Drosophila melanogaster: one gene and its partner. The protein of the gene in region 2 purifies or fractionates together with the protein of the main gene of each other region. This does not show direct contact. Each region holds a gene or a part of one and is shown on either strand. Other genes may lie near its edges.

Region 1 (7,987 bases), about 10 Mb from region 2:
GCAATGTGTGGGGCTTCATCGTTGTCTCTTTAACGCTTATTTTGTTGTTGTTGTTTTTGTTGCTGGTCTTCTACTATCTGTGTATCTGCGTATCTGTATCGGGCGTGCCAAGGCTTACGATCCACAAACCGCACAGCGACGGACTCTCAAATACACATTTAGCCATTCAAAAGCAAACCCAGCTGGAACGGTTGTGGAACTTATCGCGAGTGTCTTGTGTCCACAAAAAAAAAACGGAGACACTCACACGGAGAGAGATGTGTAAAGTGCGATAACTGATAAGAGACATGTGTTGTTATCTAAAAGCACCCACCCTTCACTTTTTAAAACCCCCTTACGCGTCATGTAAGCAACAAGTTTACAAATATCCTAGAAGAAAGCAAAGATAACATATTCTTCATGCACAGAGACACAAATATTTAGCAACACTTATTAGTCCCAATTTTAAACTTTTCAGAAAAGAATTTACAATTGTCATATAACCATAAATTTGTGAATGACAAGACTAGATACGTTCATATAAGATTCAAAGATATATGTGGTACTTTCATATTCAACAAGAAAATTTAGTTGTGCTATTCAAAATTCTCCATACCTTCTTTAACTGAATAAGCGGCTTGCTTAATGGACCTATCAGTTCTTATGATTGTTATTGTTTTACTCTGTGCATTGCGAATCCCAATTATTTGTGCTCAGTAAGATTGGCACGGTGAATGTGTTTGCAATTTAGTGACCGAGAGACTGTGACTTTTACTGCGATTGCTTCTCCAATGTTCACTCATTGTGCTCTAATAGAATTTAACAAGATGGTCTTTTCGAAATAAAAGCGACAAAGCTGCGCCTGAATTGTGATTGTTGTGCCACAAAATACACAAAACGAACAAAATTTATTCATACTTTTATGCACACGTATACGCGCGCATCTCTCAATGTTTACACACGAAATTCGCTGTGATAATTGCCAAAGCGAAGAACGAGGGAATATGTGTCTCAGTTTCGTTGCAACTGGGCCAATAATCCGTATACCGTGAACACCGAGTCGCGTCGAGAACGAAGAAATACCACCGCAACCCAACCACGAAACAACCAAGTGAACCACCCACCGCAAAACCACCAAAGCACCTACCATGGGCCAGACTTCCAGTCACCGGCAGATGCACCACAGTAGCAATAACAACAACAAGGAGGAACCACCACAACCGGCTTCACAGTTTGGAAATCGTCGAACCTCTACCCGCAAATCGACTTCGTCTTCGAAACATTACCCCACATTGGTGCAACCATTGCGTAAGGATGAGCTCTCTCTCCTGCGAGATTCACTTCTGCGCAATGGAAGCATTATGCGCAAGAACCCGGAACGTCGTCCGGTAACGATCAGTGAGCTGAAACCAGTTAATACCGGGCAGGGGACTTCGGGTAGTGTCCTGCCTATTACAGCAGAGGATGCTGCTGGTGGGAGCAGTAGTAGCATCACCCAACTAATGGCCTTCCAACTGCCCGTGGATCGAAGTGCCAAGACTGACGACCTGGCTGCCGAATCCTCGGCTTCAGCAGCAGCAGCTGTGGCGCCCAAGGAGGGGCGCAATGAGTTTTATATTGTGGGAGATGGCTATCATCGGACGGATCACTGCTACTATCGCAGTCCCAATGGCGATTTTCACAAACTGCCATCCGACTCCTTTCACAAGATGTCGGAGGGCTGTTTCGTCCGAATGGCCGATGGGGTCTTCCGTCGCCTGGAGGTACCCACCAAGGCTCAAATATCCCGAAGATCCAGCAGGGCAGAGGAAATAGGCGATGCCACAAGCCAGGGAAATGGAAGTGCCGCCACCAATGTTAAGAGCCAACTGATGAGATTTCTAAAGCGCTCCAAGAGCCACACGCCCGCCACTATTGCCAAGTTGCAGCGGGAAAAGGAGGAGGCCCGAGCGGAACGCAAGCAACGGCTATCGAACGCCCTGCGGCAGAAGAATCTAGCGGCCACAAATGCAGCCTCAGCTGCGGCGGCGAACTCATCCTACGCAAGCGGTGGTGGTGGTGGCACCGTAAGCAGTCGGAACAATAAGATTGTGGTGACAATGATCGAAAACGGCGGCTTGCCCATTGTGGCCACCAGTAAGGCGGAAAGGCCCAAGGCCAAGGAGTCGGCATCATCCAGTGACAAGGCTCGCAACTCGAGGGTATGTAATATTGGATATAAATTTATCGATATTATCGATGGTTGCTTACATTTTATCGAAATCCATCGACGGTAACGGTAACCCGTTAGATACTATTGCATAATTAATATAATAGAAGATATAGGAGGATTTATATTGGGAGCTTGCGATATTGGCAATTATGTGATTTAGAAACTTTCCTAGGCTCTTGAGCAAAACTACACTTGACCTTGCTACTTCATTTCAAAAGAGTGGGGCAATAAGGTTATATTTGTTGTGATTAAAGTTTGTCGGTCTCTCACACTTCCCCATTCATTTATGAACATTGCAAATTTATCGTTGTTGTGCTGCCACCTTCATTCAATCTAATCGTAATCGCTGTTTCGTTTTTGTCTGTATCTGTCACGGTTTTTGGTTTTTTTTCCACAATCGAATGAATAACGATTTCTATTATTTTGATTACGGATTTTGTTTAATTTCAGATTTTTGTTACCCCACATTGAATTCCTATAATCCATATGGAAACTAATATATATTTTCAGTCTAATCGCACAAGTGCTACATAAAAACCCAACGCAAATACGTTTAAAGATTAGGGGATTATAGGGATTACGGGCTCTCTGTTTCTATAACTATACGATTGCATTGTCCGGAGGACAAGTTCATAATAGTTGACCTCATTAGATTTTCCTGTTAGCTAGCATGCGAAAAATGAAATTCTATCTTTAATGTTTTTGTTTGGGACCTGAAAGGCTTGACTGAAATCTCGCTGTCTTGTCTTAATGTAGATTAAGCTGCAAGTTATTCAATTAGCTTAATTAATACGGACACTTTATACAGGCTCAGCTACTTGATACCTCGTATGAATAAATTAAAACCAAACTTGGCGAGTTACAAATTGACAGAATGATCGAATTTCATATGAGACACTTTTTGATATCTTAAAATGAGAGTTTCTCTATTTTCCAGATTATTTATTTTTAAGTATACCTAATGTGTTTCGTTTATGTCGTATCACTCGTGTCTCTATATATTTTATTCACAAATTTTATTGTGTCGGCTGACAAATGACTTACAATTATTTGACGACAAGATGTTCATAATAATGTTCTTTCGGGATTGCATTTTTAGTACCAAACTGTGTGTATTCCTCGGTCTTTGTATTCTGGTGATTGATATAGAGTAAAACAGGGGAACGGGGGAAGTTGATTAGTGAAATCTTCGCGACGACCGTAGAATTCCGACTCAGACTTCAGACATCATGTCCTTTTGGTTTTATTACTTAGAACTCTTACGTAATGCATCACCTAATCAACTGATTAACTTTAAAGGAAGCAGTTGAACTTATTGGGTAATTGATTGATTTTAATAGAAAACCAAAGTCCAACCGAATGTTACTTTAATCGCAGTAAATCAGGGAAGAAGCGCTTTGCGTAACTTGGTGGAACTTATATATTGCGCACATGCGCAGAACACTAAACCCTGCAGCAAACACGGCTAACAGTTTCTTTCCCAGCGTTACGCTCAGTGGTACTCGCACACTCATACACTCTCAAAACTTTCGAGCTCCAAACGGGGCTTCTCTTTGTGGGAGAACAAGTACACAGATGCAGATACGGATAGAGATACTGTATTAATGGTAGTAGTGCTCCACCAGTGGAGAGAGCTGCCCACTGATCGTGTGCTTGTGCTGGTGTGTTGGTGTATTAAGGCCGACGCCGCTGCCGCAGTCGACGTCGCTGCTCGAAGCGATTCCGTGCTTTTGGAATACTCCGCGCTCTCGCTCTCCGGCACTCCAGTTCCAGTTGCTGAGTGGCCAAGTGGCTCTTTGGCTGCTGAGCCCTGTTTAGCTTTGTTTTTCGGTGTCTTCTGTGTTTTGCTGTTTTTTGTTGGTGTAAATCGTATAGTTGTAGTCGTAGCCTGTCGACGACGTTTACGTCAGAGTTGCAGAGGAGGAGCTATAATTTAGTACGAATACCCAAACCCCCACGTAAAATGAGTGCGAAAAATTGCGAAAGCCGCGTGCCTCTGCGATAAGATAACCGTGTGTGGTTAAAGAACTCCTCCGGCCAACGAAACGAACCTTTTAATAATCGGGATTTGCGCGAAATGTGATTTTTTATAGTCCACAGACCAAGTGAAAAAAAAAGAAAGAAAATACTCACACACTATCAAACGACCAATGTATATAGCCTAACTGTGTTTTTCAGCAGTGAAAAAGTCGGCTCAATTGTCTAAAAGTAGTTCATTTGCTTCAATGTGTTGGTGCGACCGTGCATGTGTGTGTCTGTGTGTGTGCATTGGAGCTTTTCGCTTTGCTCACTGAAGCAGCGACGAATAAAAATGGAATATAACCAGCCAGCAACTAAACGACTCGTACGGACGAATTGTTCAGATACTTGTAGATCTCCACATCGTAACTATTTAGACAGTAATTAAAAGCAACAAAGGAAAATAGCGAAAAGGCAAATGAATCATAAAACTGAAAAGAGAGCGTGGGAGAGGAGGGTGGGGGTGGGGACAGGAAAAGCGTGACACACACACGAGAGAGAGCGAGGGCATCTCAGCTGAGCTTGTGCAACAGCAGTAGAAATAGGAGAGAGCAATTTAGAGAGAGACCGAAAACAAACACACGCACAAGAGCTCACCTCCACCACAGGTGTGTAGGTGCCACTTCGCTTTTCTCTCTCGCGCACTCTCTTTTGCTATGTATGTAATTGTGTGTTTAGGTATATTGCCCTCCCTTTCACATCCCCACATCGCCTGCCGTGTGTTTATTTCAGTGTCACCGGGGAGACAGATTAGCTCTTGTCCGCCTGTTGTCGTAAATATCACGCACACACGCTTCCCGTCCGCCCATCTGTACATACATATGTACATACGTAGAAATGGAAGTTGCTAGCTGTGTGTTTAATTCATTTTCGAGGTTTTAATGCGCAACAACTGCGACTTGTTGTGTGTTGGTTAGACGACAAAAAACAAACAAAAGTAACGTTGAGAATTTAGAAAGCCCAATGCAAACGAACGCACACACAAGCACTTACTCCTGTCGGTGTGAGCTGCATTGTACTTCCGAAGCCCCAAGACCAATTTAATAATTTTCCCCAAACTCACAGTGTAAGAACAATAAACACGCCAAGCGCAACTTGAAAAAGAAATAAGAAAAAAGAAAAAGTTGCGATCTCTCCGAGCAACAAGTACTTGTGCACCAACACACTCAAGGGAAGAGTGCCACGACAAAAAAATTTAAGAGAAAAAAAACAGAAAAACCGAAATCAGCAGCAAAACGGAGGAGCTATGGAGGCCACCACTACCACAACACCTGACTTGAATCGCGGCGATGCCACCAGGAAGAGTGTCCGGCTGTATGCCGCCCGCAAGGGGGCGGCACCTGCGCCGCCCAAGCTCAGTGTGGCGCCATCTAGTAACCAGAACAGCAACCACAGCAGCAACAACAACAATAGCAGCAGTAACTTGCCGGAAACGGAAAAGGAAATGGAACTGCGTCAAACACATCTTGCCAACAAGGATCTCGATGGAGCCACCGAAGACGACAGCATAGTGGAGCTTCGACGACGTGATGCCCAAGCCACTCCATTGCCCAGGATAGCCGTATCGGCTCTACCCACCCTACAGCCGCATCCCACGCCCAAAGAACGCCAAAAGCCGCCAATGCCACGCCTTCTGTCCACCGAAGACGATGCCGGTGTGTCCTTTGCCCTCGGCTCCATCGAGAAGCACATCCATAACGTGGAGGAGAGCTTTAAGCAACAGCAGCAAAACCAACAATCCCAATCATCGATGGACGTGATGAAACTGGAGATCAAGCGCAAGCAGAGCAAGCGCTACGGTGAAACGGAAAACCTTCTGCGACCGGGCATTAGTGACATGTCCTCCGAGAATGATTTTCAGTATTTGGGCGGCAGGCGGGCAGGAGAACTGGATGACAGCAATGAGCTGATGTTATCGGAATTCCAGCGCGGCAGCGATGGTCGTAACTCGATCGGAGCCTATTCCAAGAACTCGGCTGCTGCCGCAAACGGAGCAAATGCTGTGAAGGCTAAACTGGCACGTACTGCCTCCGATACGAAGAATAATGATACGGTGCTGGCCATGAGGGCCACTTTTAAGCAGAAGCAGCACTTGCAGGACGAGAAACAGCCAGCGGTATGGCGACCAGCTGGCACTGGACCCACTCCGGCGGCCAGGAGCTCCTCCTCCACCACGTCCACCTCCGGCTCGGCCAGTCGTGGCGGTAGCAGCAGCAGCGTGGTGGATGGAGTGGCTCCATCTAAGCTTACGGCCACTACCATTTCAGCGTCTAAGCGGCGTGAGGAGAATTTGCGACAATTTGAAGCTTTGTTGGCCCAAAAATCCTCACATCGTCATGGAGCATCTGGTGCCTCGGGAACAGGAAGTAATGCAGCCAGTTCGAAAAGACGTTCGGACCGGCCGATTGTGGCTCCTATTCCTCCGTACAATTCCAGTCGAGCAGAGCATGTGACCAGCTCGACCAGACACAGCGTTGATCCAAGATCCCATTCGGGACACGAGTCGAGGTCAGGAACAGCCTCAACTCACCCGCCTGTAGGACATCATCCCACTAGCCGCGTACCCAGCGTGGTGGCAAACCGCAGCAATGTGTACAGCAACAATGCTGCGCAGGTAAACGGGATAAAAACCAAAATCCATTTTTATCTACCATATTTCAATATAATTTTCATCATTTGGTTCAGAGAAAGCAATACCACTGTGGTTTAAAATCGCATTTAATATAACTATTAATCGTTAGCAATGCGGTTTTTAAAGGGTCATAAATCAGGATTGTCACAGAAATGTTGGGTTTTATATATAAATTATAACCGACACCTGATGCACACCAAAATACATAACTTTACTTACCCCTGACCATTGTTTTTACAGGGTTCGCCTAACATGCAAATGCGGAGTAGTGCTCCTATGCGATGGCGTGCTACTGAGGAGCATATTGGCAAATACAAACTCATAAAGACGATCGGCAAGGGCAATTTTGCCAAGGTGAAACTAGCGAAACACCTGCCCACTGGCAAGGAGGTCGCCATCAAGATAATTGACAAGACCCAACTCAATCCTGGGTCACTACAGAAACTCTTTAGAGAGGTTTGTACTTAGCTTAAAAGAATACCTTGACTTATTTACTAATCGTACTCTGCCCACAGGTTAGAATAATGAAGATGCTGGATCACCCCAACATAGTTAAATTGTTCCAAGTAATCGAAACGGAGAAGACGCTCTATCTGATCATGGAGTACGCATCTGGCGGAGAAGTCTTCGACTACCTGGTTCTCCACGGACGCATGAAGGAGAAGGAGGCGCGAGTTAAGTTTCGACAAATCGTCTCAGCCGTGCAATATTGTCATCAAAAAAGAATAATTCACAGGTAAGAGTAATCAATGCTAATTAAAATCAGATGATTTATATAAACAGGCTAGGACAAACCAAAGGCCCATTATTATAGTTGGCACCTTATTAACCGGAATTATTTATTTATAACAGGGACTTAAAAGCTGAAAACCTTTTGCTGGACAGCGAACTGAACATCAAAATCGCTGACTTTGGCTTTTCGAACGAGTTCACACCCGGCTCAAAGCTGGACACGTTCTGCGGTAGCCCGCCATATGCGGCACCGGAGCTGTTTCAGGGCAAAAAGTACGACGGACCGGAGGTCGATGTTTGGTCGCTGGGCGTCATCCTGTATACGTTAGTGAGCGGTTCCCTGCCCTTCGACGGCTCCACCTTGAGGGAGTTGCGTGAACGCGTGCTCAGAGGCAAATATAGGTAAGTGTTGC
Region 2 (7,765 bases):
TTCGGCCACCAGAACAAAAGGAACGCAACCAAAGAAAAGTATACAGAGTGATTTTTTTCTAGAGGTGGCAACTAGTGCAGTGGAGTCTCTGCCTCATTTCCTTTGCTTTTTTCTAATTTTTCAGTTGGGTTTGGTTTGGTTTTGTTGGGTTAGGTTAGGTTAGTGGCAAGGAATGCAGGTAACTAAAAAGGAAATGCAAAAGGAAAAGTCAACAAACGAAGGAGAGGAAGGAGTGTTGGTCGTGTTCTGGCTTTGCTCACCGCCCCCCCCCCCCTCCTCCTCACCAACCCCCTCTCACCCACACAAGCCGCTCGTTCGCTACCCGCTACCCTGTTTGTCCTGGCGCCTCGTTCATATTTCATATCTCAGCCCACCGTCGAGGGTCATAAACTAAGTTTTGCCCGGCACGAAATCATTTTGCACGTCAGAGCACGAAACTAAATTTGCGGTTCCGCCAACGTCCTTGTCCGCCACTGTTCACTACTCACTACTACTCAGTGTTCCGGTATTCGACTCATAAATGGTTTATTCAAGCCCCCCCGCAATGGCGGCCAAATGCTAATTAGCTGGCGTAATCAAGTGCTGACCCCGTTCAAGTGCAAAACAGTTTAGCTAACCATAATTGTAATCCAGTTTGAGGCTTTGATATCAAACGCACGGCTCCGGGCAAAGTTTCAGATTCAGATACAGATTCAGTTCAGTTTCGGTTGCAGTGTTACTATAGTTGATGGTGATATTTTCCAAGGTGCACCTTTCCGCAGTGGCTTTTTCTAGCGTCCAACGGCTCAGCTGTGGGCCATTTTCTAGTCCTGTTGTCCCGGTCGGTTCACCGGTTCTAATGCAATTTCCCGGCAGCGGCAGCTGCTTCACGGAAAATACCCATCCAATCCCCGCGTGGAATTCAATTTGCATGTGTTTGAAGTGTGTGTCGGTTGTGGAGTGTGTCGAGTGCCGTTTGTGTTGGTTAATTGAAATGAAAATCGGTTGAGATTCGCAGGATGAGTGAAGCGAAACGGAATACGAAATAAATGAAAATCGAATCAAGTGAAATGAAATGAAATCAAATTTATGTACCATGCGCATGCGTGTGATGTTAGACAGAAATAATAGACTTTAGTTAGAAATTGCATTAGTTGAGTTGACTACAAATAGTACGAAATGAAAATAGTTATATATGGCGGTAACAAGTAGAGAGCTAGCGAGCGATATACAAATCTCCAAACATAAGCGTTAATTTTGCATAATGAATTTTGGCGAATCGAGTTTGGAATTTGGAATTTGGAATTTGTAATGACATCTGCGTTAGGTCTGCAGAAAGGGTTAGTACTTTCTAGATCGGTAAAAGCAAAGCCAATTGATCGTAATCGTAATGGGGTAAAAAATCAATGTTCGCAGGGCTCTCGCACAAACAAATTTGATTTACTGGCCAAGTGCTGGACTACGTTTGTGCTCAGATTGCGTGGACTAGGTCCAGAGATTCAGTTCGGTTTTGGTTTCAGATTGGGTTAAGTTTCGGGTTGGAGTGGTCATTCACCTAAAGGACTTCCGCGTGGCGCTCCGTAGTCCCGGGATGGGGATCGATCGACCGTCGGCAATTCCTGGAGACGCCGCACGCGACCCGGACTGCGCACACCAGAGCTAGTTACTGGATTATAATCGTCACGTGACATAATCCGCGGCTCATCCGCGGCATGCAATCACACACGGGGTGCAAATGGAATGTGGTACGTGGAACCGGAGGTTGCAGTTGGAGTTGAACTGGTCTACCGGATGCAACCTTAAATGCAACGTTGAACTTTGATTTCGGTTCTCTGGTTGGTATTGGCCTCTCGGTTGATATGCTCGGTTTTGATTGATTAATTGATTGATCTATTCGCCACTTTCTCTCTCTCTCTCTCTCTCTCTCTCTTTTTCTTGTGCGGCATCTGCAAGTGGAAGATAGGAGAAGAGAACGAAAAACAAACACACAATAGTACAATAGCACACGGCACAATCGAGATGCTCTCTCGTCATAAACAATATATTGCATTACGCATACGCCCCGTTGCACGCTAAAAAGCCAAGGCTTTGCCGCTCTTCAGCGTTTTTCTCCTTTGCATTTAAATTGGCTGTAGCTCAACTTGCATATCCTTAACCTTTTTACCTAAATCTCGGTCGGGAGCTGACTCACTACCGGGCCAAAAGCGCATAAACAAATACGATAAACAGACTTAACAGGACTCAAAGGACGGAAACGGCTGCGGAGAGGAGAGCGCATCCCGCCGAGCATTTGCTCTATGCAAATTCGTGCTCTACGGCGACGGCAACAAATCGCATGCAAATTGCCACTCGAGCGTCTGCCACTCGGTTGCAAGGAAGTCTCAAACAGAAGCTGTCAGCCGAAGTTTATGCGGTTCATCCTTAAATTGGCATAGGCCTTTTTTTAATAAGACAGATATTTTTAATATAACATCCTCATCTTTTGGTCTCAATTTAAAATCAAATAAACTTATAAATAAGTATATAACGTAACGCACTCATAATGTTCTCTGCTTTACTATAGCTTAAATAACTTAAATCGTTTCAAAAATATTATTGGGTATTAATTTTAAATAAGAACAAAATGAATAAATTCAATATTTTCGTGGCTAATAATTGGCTTTAGTATTTTGATTCTGATGACCTCAAATCATCGTGTTTACTTTGTAGACTTTGTATTTGAATGTCATGAATAGCAGGTTGTAATTAAGGCGCCCGCATAAACAATGCGACCTGGTGATAAGACGAAATGTTGAACCTTCGGCTGCTGTGAATGATGTGAATGGGCCAAGAGTGCAGATATCAACGGCAGCGGTGCGACAGCTGCAGCGGCTCAAATGAATGCTAAATGAATCAGCAGGCCGGAAGCCCATTCACACAGCCAAAAGCCGTGGAAAGGAAGCCTCAGCTTGATTCTGTGGATGTGGATGCTCTATGTGTGCGGCAGGGAGAATGGGGACATAAAAAGATGGAGGAAGCGCAGCAGATGAGGTCAGGATATGGCAGACAGGCCATAAAATATCAGGCCCAGATTCGATTACATCGCCATGCCATTAGGGAGCCCCAGGCAGTGCACTTTGCTGGGCAAACATATCCAGATATATACTGCCATACTGCCAGATGTATGTAGATGCGGAGAGCGGGAGACGGATTGCACTTCTAGCTGCATACTTGGGGGACCTGGAGCTGAAGCTGAAACTGGAAGCCACTACGATTGTTGTCCGTCCGGAGGCCATCTTATCAGGCTATCTGCTCCGGGGGCCTCCACCCCAAAACAAACATGTTGAATAGCTTCCGAAAAAACGAGAGGCGTCCCCGGAGAAAGCCGGAGAGAGAACTCACCACACTGGGAGGCTAGTGCGCAAATGCGTGCCATCTCACCAGCGCACTTCCCTTTCTCCTCTCGCCTTTCTCCGTTCCTCTGGCTGCTTTCTCCATTCGCTCCCGCTCACAACAATAGCGTCATCGTAAAATATTTGCCGTATTTTGTTGTTACCACTGCCCCAATATATGGATTGGCGGCGTTTTCTTCGCCCGCACACACACTGACTCTCACAACAGACACACACAGACACTGACTCAGACCACATGTAAAATAAGGTTGAAATTTGAAATCAATAAAAGTTATTCGGCTGATCTAAAATTAGAGCAAGCAACTCAAATAACAGCCGAAAGAAGTAAATAATAAAGGCAAACACCGCATCATTGACACGCAAAGGAGGTGATTGGGCCGGCCCCCAAAAAAGCTGAACAAAAAACTGACAAATCATGCGAGCAAATCGAATGCGTCGAGCCTGCCCCACAAGGCACCATCCACATATCTAATTATAAGTTTTCAAATTGCTTGCCAATCTCCGGATGATTGATTGATTGAACGGGGCGTATGGGTAATGCATGGAGAACAGACTAAAATTACTCGCTAAACTAAGTTACTCGACTACGTTCTAGGACTGCAACTAGGTCTAGATAATCGGGGATCGTATTTTATATTCAGCTGGACATATTCATCGGTAAAATCACAAGAAAGAAATCACAACAGATACGTACAGGAGATAAAGAAGTTACACAGAGAGAACAAAGGCAGGCACAAAAACAGATTACTTATAACTGATTACGATTAAATTATGGCGGCTCCTGTTACACAAGGCATACGCACAAATCAGAAATCAATATCGCTTATGGTTCACATCACAAATTGAAGTTTTTGCCGTGTTTCTTTGGTTGTGTGTGCGTTTATGTGTGTGTATCTCAGTGTCAGTGTGGGTGTCGTTACGTATACGTAATACGGTTAAATAGCTCACCCGCTTTGCTTAGGCGATGAATTTTGAATGATTTTCCTTAACGAACTGCGGGCGAATGAAAAACTGGCTAAGCTAGCTGCTGCTCCTGCTACTGCACCTCCTCGTTCGTTTAATCCTCTTGCTCCTGCTCCTGCTCCTGCTGCTGCTCCTCGACTTCCGCTTCCGGTTTTCAGAGCCCGCACACACTGACGCACTCGCGCTGCAACTACATGTGTGTGTGGGCGATTTGTTGCTCGTCTTTATGGCCGTTGCCAATGCAATGGTGCTGGTGACTGCGATTGTGATTGTGTTTGTGGTTGTTGTCAGGCGGCTCAATGGGCATTTCCGGTTCCGGTCGGCTAGCTGCTTGCACTAATTTAGTTGATGACACTGGCTTAGTTAGTTTGTTGACTTTCGTGGCGTGCGCTCGCTGGCTAATTGCATTTTGTGTTTATGATTTAAACGGCTTTTGTTTTATGTACATGGCTGTGTGGGAGGATAATTAAACCGCGTGAGTTTCCAGCTAAACTAATTAAAGTCTTCATTCACTGAGTGGGTTTTTTTGTGTTTCATTTATTTTTCCAAGTGGTTTGGTGGCTTCGTGCCCAACGAGGATATTTTTTACACTCGTTCCCGCTGACACACATTCGAGCCCAACACACACACACACACACACACACAGGCACAGCAAACACAGCGATACGGAGAGATAGGGAGTTGAAGAGTGCTCCGCAAAATGGAGTGGAGAGTGTTCTACGCACGAGTTACGCTCACGAACAACGTAAGGTTCGACGTAACGAAAGGGGATTGTGGGGGGAGTGGCGTGTGGCGAGGGGCGAGGGGCGGTGGAGCTGAGCGGGTGGTTTGGGTGGCTCAACATTATGCTGGCACCCCACCTTCCGTCACTTCATTCGCTCGGCTCTAGGCTCTGTTATACAGCTTATAGCTTTTCAAACTTAATGTCTCTTTGTAGGCGTATGCGTATGTGTGTGTGTGTGTGTGTGAGTGCGGTTTTGTGGGTGTGCGAATGCGAGTGTGTGTGTATAACTCGCATGGCTTATATGTAGGTTGAAGCAATTTATAATAATTTTTTTTTGCTTTCGCCCCAATCGATAGGCAGCGTTTAGTGGGACAGATGACTCCTTTTGATTGACAGTGTGTGTTTGTACGTTGGTCTTTCACACTGATATACTATACACAAATGCACATTTGTATATATATATACGTATAAAGGGTGTGTGTGAAATGGTTCCTTGAGTTTGTCACACGATTTTGAGCGCTATAGGCGGCTTTTTGGCCAGCTCGATTTGCTTTTAACTCGCTTTTTTCGCACTTTTTGCAGGAAATCACTTTTCTGTATCCAGGGAGCAGCCTCTAGCGCTAGTGCTGCCATTCACGCACACTCACTCACTCGCACACATACACACACACTAACGGGGACTTTATGCATTTGATCGAAGCACTTTTCGCCAGTCAATGGAATTTTCTCGCGCTATTCTTTCACTTTTCTCCGCTGCGAATGCAATTAAGTTGGACTTTTCTTGGCCTTATACATTTCTCGGCCAGATACATATACTGCGCGTGTGTGTATGTGTGTGTGCATGCGGGAGTGTATTGGTATTCGTGTCTATGTGTGTTCCTAACCCAAAAATGTATTGTGCGGCAGCTGAGGTGGCCCGTTTTCGGCAACGCCGTTGTCCAACTAACTACCCTCAAAGAACTGAGCACGGCTCGTGCAAGCCAGTTGCTAATATAGTCGCCGATTCGCTGGCAAGTGGTGAGTTTTCCAACTTTTCCTTACCGACCACCCTCTGCTTTCCTCCTGGCCTAGGCATAGGGAGAGCTAGCCGGAGAGCGCGCGATTGCAATCAATGAATTTTCCTTTCGGCGCTCGCGCAGTTCAGTGAGTGCTGGCATCTCGAGCTGCCAGCTTAATGGATTCCGGAATTCCAATACCAAAATATGGAGCCAGCGCATTGCGTTACGCTAAACGAATGTGGGTCTTACGTATTGCTCCACATTCAGCGTTGGCAATGCTGCGCGCCAACTATTCAAACCGCCCTCAAAATTAGACTATGAACTCGTTGGTTTTAGGAACAGTTTTCTATAAGAACAGATTATAGATTCTTAAAGATTTGGATTTCATTATTTTGGAAACTATTTTTAAGGAATAAGAAATCTGAAACAGCAGACTGAATGTATCAGCTCACCTAGATTAGCTTTTTTGCAGAAGGTTCTTTTCTAAGAAAACTTAAATACTTATTTGAATTATACGAACTTAATAATAAGACAGTATTCGTTGGGGATGTTAACTTGTTACGTTTATTCTGGAATGTGTCTGTATGGTGGCGCGGTGCGTATCTGCGGTTGTAATACATTTCTCATAATACTTAATCAACGCATTTCCTATGACATAGCCCTAGTTCTAGCGATATGCTCCCGCTACCCGTCTATTTACAGGTGAACTCCTCGTAGCTCTCGTCGCACTCGTCACACTTGACCTCGCAGCACCAGCGGAATTGGCAGCGGCACTGCGTGGTCCTTCGAATGTGCTGCGTGTTGTGGCCACGCCCACAGCAGAGCAGATCGCAGCTCTGGGGGCCGTGGCCGGTCCGCTGGCAGGTCCGACCTGAGGTGCCCTGGCTGCCCGTCTGCAGACTTCGCTCGCAGTAGTTGGGCGACGCCTCCAGGTAGATCAGCTCCATGCGCTTCGGCCAATCGAGGACCGGTTTCTGGGCACGAGCGGTGCCGGCATGCTTCTTTCTGCAAGAAATTAAAAGTGGAAAGAGGTATGTGTTAATATGTGGGATCGAAAATGTGTTGATATTATACCGTGCTACAGAAGGCACAGCAAACATATTGCATTTAAAAAGGACTTAATGACTACTATGTGTTTTATTCTTTTTAGAAGAATACTTATTTAGCCATTAGATTATTGCCTACATATCATGCAACATCTTGCAAGATTCCCATTTCTCACCTGCTTAATACTAATCTCAGTCCACGTTTGCCTTTGACGGCTTGAACAGTTTTGGCTTTTTGATACTTCAGCATGAGTCTATCGCCAACCAGTCGAAAGGGCGGCAGGCTCTTCCAGCAGGTCTTCATCACGCAGGAGCCACTGACGCCATGGCACTTGCAGTCCGTGCGCAGCATCTTCTTGACCAGCTGATAAGAGAAAAACATAACTATTAACTAGGCCATATTTATTATTAAATTTTATGCATGCGCACCGTTCTCCCTGCTCGGTTATTGTGCAGGTTCATCAGCGTGCGGGAGTCGCGCTCCAATTCGCGGGCATCCATGAATCTGCGCGCATACCGCATCCCAAAGTCCACGTCCGCCGAGCAGCCGCCCCACTTCCAGGGCTCGTCGGGCGTACCGCCGCCAGTGGGCGTGGCTTTGTGCCGCACATCACAGCCGCAGGTGGAGATGTTGCCGCGGGCACAGGCGGCGGTCACCGCGTA

What was found.
Region 1: the proteins of brp (region 2) and par-1 purify together in Drosophila melanogaster (affinity purification with western blotting, with the first as the bait; one study listed by BioGRID). This does not show direct contact.

Annotation. Positions count from the first base shown.
Region 1 is NT_033778.4:19,463,515-19,471,501, forward strand, and holds the start of par-1 (par-1), read left to right. Parts: upstream 1-3,951; 5' UTR 3,952-4,127; exon of another isoform or gene 4,128-4,299; intron 4,300-5,275; 5' UTR 5,276-5,456; coding exon 5,457-6,824; intron 6,825-7,082; coding exon 7,083-7,298; intron 7,299-7,357; coding exon 7,358-7,578; intron 7,579-7,694; coding exon 7,695-7,976; intron 7,977-7,987.
Region 2 is NT_033778.4:9,502,023-9,509,787, reverse strand, and holds the start of brp (bruchpilot), read right to left. Parts: upstream 6,024-7,765; 5' UTR 5,943-6,023; intron 4,785-5,942; 5' UTR 4,320-4,784; intron 1,926-4,319; 5' UTR 1,671-1,925; coding exon 1,535-1,670; intron 862-1,534; exon of another isoform or gene 618-861; intron 1-617. Other genes in the region: Wnt2 (Wnt oncogene analog 2), read right to left, coding at 6,749-7,061, 7,279-7,466, 7,532-7,765.